Linked DNA regions of Danio rerio. The protein of the gene in region 2 purifies or fractionates together with the protein of the main gene of each other region. This does not show direct contact. Links are inferred from orthologs where the notes say so. Each region holds a gene or a part of one and is shown on either strand. Other genes may lie near its edges.

Region 1 (3,500 bases), on a different chromosome or scaffold from region 2:
TACATGCAGGTGAGTCTGCGTTGCAGAAATGAGGTGAAATCAATTACCAAAGGCATTCAAATTATAATGGCAAGTAGTGGAAAATGTTTTTGTTTGTTCTCACAGAAGATATTTTTGTCTGTTTAATTAGGCGGAGAGGATTTTTTCAGAAGTCCGACGTATAGAGAGCTATCGAGTAGAGGGTATGGACATCTACTCAACAACACTTTGGCATTTACAAAAGGATGTGGCACTTTCTGCCCTATCTAAAGACCTCACTGACATGGACAAAAACTCACCTGAGGTAAGTTTATCAAGGCAGTAATGCAATTATTAGTTGGAATATTATTCAGTTCAGTAAATCAGCTGCTTATCTTTTTGTTTTTCCACCTCTTTACAGCCCTGGTGTGTAGTTGGTAACTGTTTCAGCTTACAGCGGGAGCATGACATCGCCATTAAGTTCTTCACACGGGCCATCCAGGTGGACCCCAGCTTTGCTTACGCTTATACACTATTAGGGCATGAACTGGTTCTCACAGAGGAGCTGGAGAAAGCCCTGGGTTGCTTCCGCAATGCTATACGCCTCAATAAACGTCACTACAATGCCTGGTATGTTTGTTACTTTACATGACACCAAAAAAAAACCATTAAATAAGTCGTTCACTCACAATCATTTTACTTATCCAGTTGTCTGACAGATAAGTACCATCTGCTATTTCAGAAGCAAAAAGACTTCATCTTTCTGTCTCTTACCACAGGTATGGCTTGGGAATGATTTATTATAAGCAGGAGAAGTTTAATCTAGCCGAGATTCATTTCAAGAAAGCTTTTAGCATCAATCCTCAGAGCTCTGTGCTACTCTGTCATATCGGAGTGGTGAGTAAATCAGCCTTTATGTACTTTTTGGTTATGCATAAAACATAACATGATAATCACTGTTTAAAATTTCTGATAGGATTTTTGCTGTGCTGCATCTTCATATTGTTTCTCATGTACTCTGTCAGGTTCAACATGCTTTGAAGAAATCAGACCATGCACTGGAGACCCTTAACAGAGCCATTAGCATCGACCCTAAGAATCCGCTATGCAAATTCCATAGGGCCTCAATTCTGTTTGCCAATGAAAAGTACAAGGTACTGCTCTACTTGTACTATAATGTTAGGTGCAGTGAGTGATTTCTGAGAAACTCTGTTATATTTGAAATCTGACATCAAAGCAAAAATACACCGCCCCTTAATACTTAAACATGCAAAACAACAGGCAACCGCTACTGCAGAGTGAACCATATGCAGTTTAATAGTTCTTTACGATTGTTGCTCGTCAATCTATTCACCTTATTCTACGTGTATGAGCGAGCACAGCCGTTTGAATCTTTTTGGCTGGAGACTGCTGGTCTCATTCACTTCCATTCATTTTTGTGACATTAAAAACCGTTCTTTCTTCTGCTTGATGTTGCAAACTGATCTTTTTTTGTTTTACTATTCTGCTTCGTCCGTGTTGTCATGAACATACTTGCTTATAGAGGACCGTTTATTTGCCGTTTATTATTCCTAGTCATTTCTCCGATAGACGACTGAATCAGAAGTTCTTAAACAATCGCAAAAACGAGTGCACTATCACATTTAAGAATAGGGTCAATATCAGGGGTGCTCAAACGTTTCCTATGCATGGCCAAAACCAAACATAATTGACCCTTCGCTAAGCCCTGCCCAATAACTGCCACCCACCAATCGTGGCTTAGCAACTGTAGCTACGCGCAGGGGCTCTGTCAAGTTTTCGAGCGAGTGCATATGGATTGTGCAAATCTGATACCCGGTATCCTTAGAGTTTGGACTGGGCGGTGGAATTTTTCCCCTTTTCAAAACCTAAAATCCAAAAGGAGAAATACTAGCGTGGATCAAGCAGTGTGAGGGGCACTAAAAGAGCAGAGCTAAGTTGATTTTGTTTTGATATTCCTGACACATTCAGTGACAGACAGACGGCAATAACTCACAAACCTCTTACCCTAAACAGAACTAAACTGTGTTTCCTACAAAAACACAAAGCTGGTTATGTTTCACAGCTTTCTTATTCCTTTTTTTTTTTTGCTCTATTGTGAGTAATGCTCCGTTTAAGCCTTCGCCATAACGTTAGTAACTTAGTCATAATAGCGAATAAGTCATAATGACAAGAGTTATTGATTCGGAAAATACAAATCTGCGAATCTGTTGCTAACTTTACTGAACGTCATATTTCCATCTGTTTCAAGCTATGAATATTAGAAATGACAAATTAGCAGAACAAAACCGAGATATGATCACAAACTGAGCAGCAGATCAATATACTTTACCCGCAGCTGCTGTTTTTCAGTCATTTATAAAGAGCACACAAACATACTGACAGTAATAGGTAACTTATTGTTATGAGTCAATGATGCTAATATTCGACACAAATCCATCAGTTTCCCTTTCTGGCTGTTCTTTCTATGAATGAACTATGTAAAAGCACTGTCATGCATGTTTCTTCATCGGTTAGTAACTCCATTTCATTGCACAACAATTAATCCATCAGGCTTTTTGGCTAAAAATAGAGAAATCACGGTTTAATTTGTTATTATTAGATTATTTTTAGATTTCCCCTCTCCTGCTGAGCATGAGCTAAGCTGTTAAATGGTCAGCGTATGAGGTGGCTAGGCTAAGCTAGCTTCAATTTTAATTGATTTATTCTCTAATCGGTTGCCTATTATGTGGTGAATATACCCCTGTAATGCATACTGCAGTCCTTTATTGTCTGGCTTTCTCGGATATCTCACCTGTTCGCCAAAAATAACATTATACCCCTGGCAATGATTGACACCGGCGCACACATTGAAAAAGCTGTGCCAGGCACGAAAGCTTGACAGGCGTAGCAACAGTAACTAAGGAGGGGGGGCTTAGCGAAGGGTCCATTGAGAGCTGTGGGCGGAAGGTCAATCTAGCAAACTCTATTACAAAGTTGCCATAGGTAATTTTCTTTTTTTTTTATGTATATTTATAATACTTATAGATGGAAATTACTTAATCATGTATAATCATATGAGGTTAACTATTGCATTATAATTTTGTATATTTTATAATTAACGTATCCCTATGAAAAGAAACTATTCCATTTACAACACCATGGCTTTCAGTGCACATTTAAATACTCTGACCCATTCACAACATTCAATTGAAACATTTAATTCAAGCTTGTTTTTTTGTAGCATCACAATAAAACAAACAAAAGCTTATATTAAATTACAAAAGACAATCTCTATTAAAGGCAATTCCTCCTCCAACCCTTAATTTGGGATGGCGGGCCAAATCAAAGGTTATCATGGGCCAACTTTTGCAGATCCTAGTTTGGGCATCACTGGTCTATATGAATAGTTAACCAGCTTTAAGTCATGATACACTGTGGGATCTCAGTTGCTAAACAGTTGCCACAAACTCCAATACTTTCAAGACCCCCTTGTCTTCAAAAGAAAATTGAGAAAAAAAACAAATGTTTTGGAAAAAAAAATT
Region 2 (3,919 bases):
CGACGACGTTAAAAAGACGTAGTTTCGTCTTTCACTTTCCCACCTGTTTTCCACGTTGTTTGGACGTCTGACAATGTCGTCTTTTCGACGTCTATTCGACGAACTATTGCTGGGTGGGGAGCTCATCTGTTTGTCGGAACTACTAGACACAATTTTTTTTATCAACTATAATGTGTTTAATTAGTTAATTTAAAATTCATTTCATTATTCCAGCAATAATTGTTGAGTGAAAGAATGCGCTAGAAATTTGCATTGCGGCTCCCTTTATTGTACAGGCTTATTGCACTTAAACTTTTTTAGGTTCGGCTCTCGAATTAGTAAGGTTATGAGTAAATGTTATTTAAAATATTTAAAGCCTGCCATCTAGCCTACAATAACAGCAAATTTAATAATAGAAAAAAATAATAAGACAGGCCTACTTTGGCGTTGCAATAAAATAGTATTAATTATCAAAAAAATAATTACAATATATAATTAAAATAGGAAGAAGTAAATGAAAACAAATGGTACCCTTTGTTTTTATAGCAGGGCCCAAAGTGTTCTTATTCTGGTTCTGCTAACAACTATTAAAAAGAAAAAAAACACACCAAACAATAAAAACACTAGTAACTGATATTAATAATAATAATAATTATTATTATTATAAAGCCCTATTATATTATTATAAAGATTGTTATGAAACAATCATGTAAACCAGGTGCTCCTCGGAAATGGCTATCTTTGCTCTGCATCAGGTGCACAGCAGCAAGAAGCTTGGCAGTGAACTATGACCTTATTTTAATGACAAATGTCTAAGAATACTGCTTTACGTTTTTATTTAATTTATACATACGCAATGAATGTAAGCCTGCTAACTGTGTGTGGTTCAAATGATAGAATATGTAAACTTAGTTAATATATAATTAAATAATAATAATTAAAAGCCTGCGTGTAAGGCTTTTATTTTGAGGGTGACGTCACGAGCGCAGATTTGGTTGACCAATTAGAGGAAAGTGGGCGTTTCAGCACCGCCTACATGTGTAAAATGAATTTTAAAGTCGTTTATCCGTTTTCCTACCCTAAACCAAAAAACGAAAATCCAGCCAAAATCTCGTTTTTTCGTTTTCTCGTGAGCAAAAGGAAAAACGGCCGTTTTCTCCATTTCCTTTATTCCGTTTGAAAATGGAAAACAAATGAACAAAACGTACACGGACCGTTCTAAAACAACAAGTTTTGTACATTTAGTTTTAAAGGTTTAACTAAATAAATCGATCAAAAACTTGAAGAAAAAAACTAAGGTTAATGAACATTTCAACCGTCTATGCCCTTAAATAGACAGTGAAAGAATAATTCAACTAATGCGATTATCAATTTAAAACTTGAAAAAATATAAAAACAGAAAAAACACACACGTTTATCCCTTTTTTCTCCCTTCACGCTTAAACTACATTTCCCATGATTCCTTCTGCTCTTTCTACGGTCTAAAGCGTGAATGATTACGGTAAGTGATGTGAGCTGAAATAGTCATCTTCTTTCAGTTTAGAATTGTTTGTCAATAGTTTGCCAAGCTTACTAAAATAAACGATCTTCACGGTTCATTATCCTGACGTTTGTCACTGTTTAAGACCCAGAATTTAGAGCTACTAGGCTAATTAGCATGTAGCTGCTAAACAATAACGTTATGGTGTTGAAGCAGGCGTCGCTGAATTTCTTGAAATTACGAAATACACAACACGACGGTAAACGTTCAAGTAAAGTGTACTGTGTATGCAGATATAATACTGCAATCATGGGCTTTTGCAACGTTAGGTTCCTTAAAACATAGCATTTGAGCTTTCTCAGAGTCAAAATATATATGAAGAGTTGAATAGAACTACCACAACTCAACTAGGTTAACCCATCGATTTCTAATGAACATACATTATATATGTAACGTTAACGTTAATAAGTGTGTAAATTAACTTAAGCAGCGCGTGTAACGTGTTTCCAGGCAACGAGAAGCCGGTGATGTGAAGATGCTGAGGAGGAAACCAACGCGCCTCGAGCTCAAGCTGGACGACACGGAGGAGTTTGAAAGTGTCAAGAAAGAGCTGGAGGTAAAATTTTGGACTTGTCATCGTGTCTTAAACATGTGTCATAAATAGTTGCTTCAATTTACTGTACACACATAAAGACATGTTCCTTCATCCCAGTGGGGACTCTCATAGACCCCTTAATGATGGTTCTACTGTACAAACAGTAGATTCTATCCCCCTACCCCTAAACACAACCCAATTTATCTGTACTGCATGTCTTTGGACTGTGGGGGAAACCGGAGCACCCGGAGGGAACCCACGCGAATGCAGGGAGAACATGCAAACTCCACACAGAAACGCCAACTGAACCATGGTTCGAACCAGCGACCTTCTTGCTGTGAGGCGACAGCACTAGGTCTGGTGCGACTGCTTCGTCCGAGGACAGGATTTTCCCGAATGTAATTCTATAAATTTGATGGGAGTAAACCCAATATAGAAATGTAAACAGAGATACGCTAGTGCTTGAGCCTACAAATGGACAAAGCAGTAAAATTAGTTATAAATCTTAGTGCAGCATGGTAAACAGTGTCCAGTGCATGCAGACTAGAAGACGAAGCATACATATAGATAACATCAGCGTAGTCCAATATCAACATAAATGTTGCATCAACCAGCTTTTTTGTAGCATCAAAAGTAAAGTTGTATTGGAGTTGTTCTACAGCTGATTTTGATAGACTACAGTTATGTGTTAGTAACCACAGCGAAAATATATTTCTGCTAAAAACATTATCAATTATGATTAAGTTATGATAATGATATTATTAGGTTATGAAAATGATACTTTAGTCCCTGCTCTCCCCTACTTAATTAAAATAAAGCAAAAATTCTTAGTCCACCACTGCAAATCAGTCAGTAATAGTGTGATTTCTTCATCATTCTTTTTCTCATTTAAAAGCAAGCATGTAAGCAAATCTTACAGAAAGTAAGAAGCTTTCTATAATCTCATGTTACTTTCCCCACATGTGTTAAGAGTCGGAAGAAACAGAGGGATGAGGTGGATGTCGTCGGTGTCGCCACATCCAGTGAGATGAGCGGAGCGGCAGGTGGCACTGCTGATGGGAAAACCAGAGAGCAGATGATTCACGAGAGAATTGGATACAAACCCCACCCCAAGCCTAACACGTTACCATCGCTCTTCGGAAACCTTCAGTTTTGACAAGTGCCAATCCTGAACAATGGACTATAAGGTCTTGAGAATCTGTAACACAGACACGTACGTGCACACAGAATATATTCTGCATCAATCTTGCCAGATTAGAAATGGACATAAAATTATGGCTTTGGTTAACGGTGTTTGTGATAACTGATTTCAAATGACTATTTTTCTATTGAAATAAATAAAGCCTTTCTAGTTGGATGTGGAAATGGTGTGTAAATGTGATATTGGCAGAATTATATTTTTGATAATACCGATTAGGGCGCAACGATTATAAATTTTGGTTGTACGATTATAGTATTAGAAATAATCACGTTTATCATGATTATTTGCATTCATTGATCCCAAAACCCCATTAGTTTATAAATAGTTTAAAACGGTTTTAAATTTTGTTTTATATATTGTGCCCAACTAAATATTTGTTGCTGGTTTAATCGTTTAATTTTATTTAAGTGCATATAAAAAATTCAGTGGATATTATTGATGCATTATTTGGTAAAACTGCTCATTCAATGTGTTTTTGGTCATTATCAATGCACCGGTAAAATAGACCCAGCGGCGAAACCACGACTGCTTGCATGATGCTCATGCCTCGTGTTGACGCACTGCTTCTGCATGCAGTATGAAAGCTCTAATCTGTTAACATGGATGCGAAAAAAAACACTCTCTGGTCATGCCTGCGGTGTGAAACAGGCTTGAGTCTTTCACC

What was found. Proteins that work in one complex are often made in the same cells at the same time.
Region 1: the proteins of cdc26 (region 2) and cdc27 purify together in Homo sapiens (affinity purification with mass spectrometry; 12 studies listed by BioGRID and IntAct, with this or other methods). This does not show direct contact. The link is inferred for Danio rerio from reciprocal best matches to the Homo sapiens genes CDC26 and CDC27.

What each region holds. Positions count from the first base shown.
Region 1 is NC_133178.1:20,785,965-20,789,464, forward strand, and holds part of cdc27 (cell division cycle protein 27 homolog), read left to right. Parts: coding exon 1-9; intron 10-130; coding exon 131-283; intron 284-379; coding exon 380-588; intron 589-737; coding exon 738-855; intron 856-983; coding exon 984-1,112; intron 1,113-3,500. UniProt on the Homo sapiens protein: Component of the anaphase promoting complex/cyclosome (APC/C), a cell cycle-regulated E3 ubiquitin ligase that controls progression through mitosis and the G1 phase of the cell cycle.
Region 2 is NC_133180.1:62,620,792-62,624,710, reverse strand, and holds cdc26 (anaphase-promoting complex subunit CDC26), read left to right. Parts: upstream 1-1,420; 5' UTR 1,421-1,480; intron 1,481-1,969; 5' UTR 1,970-1,994; coding exon 1,995-2,075; intron 2,076-3,024; coding exon 3,025-3,210; 3' UTR 3,211-3,419; downstream 3,420-3,919. UniProt on the Homo sapiens protein: Component of the anaphase promoting complex/cyclosome (APC/C), a cell cycle-regulated E3 ubiquitin ligase that controls progression through mitosis and the G1 phase of the cell cycle.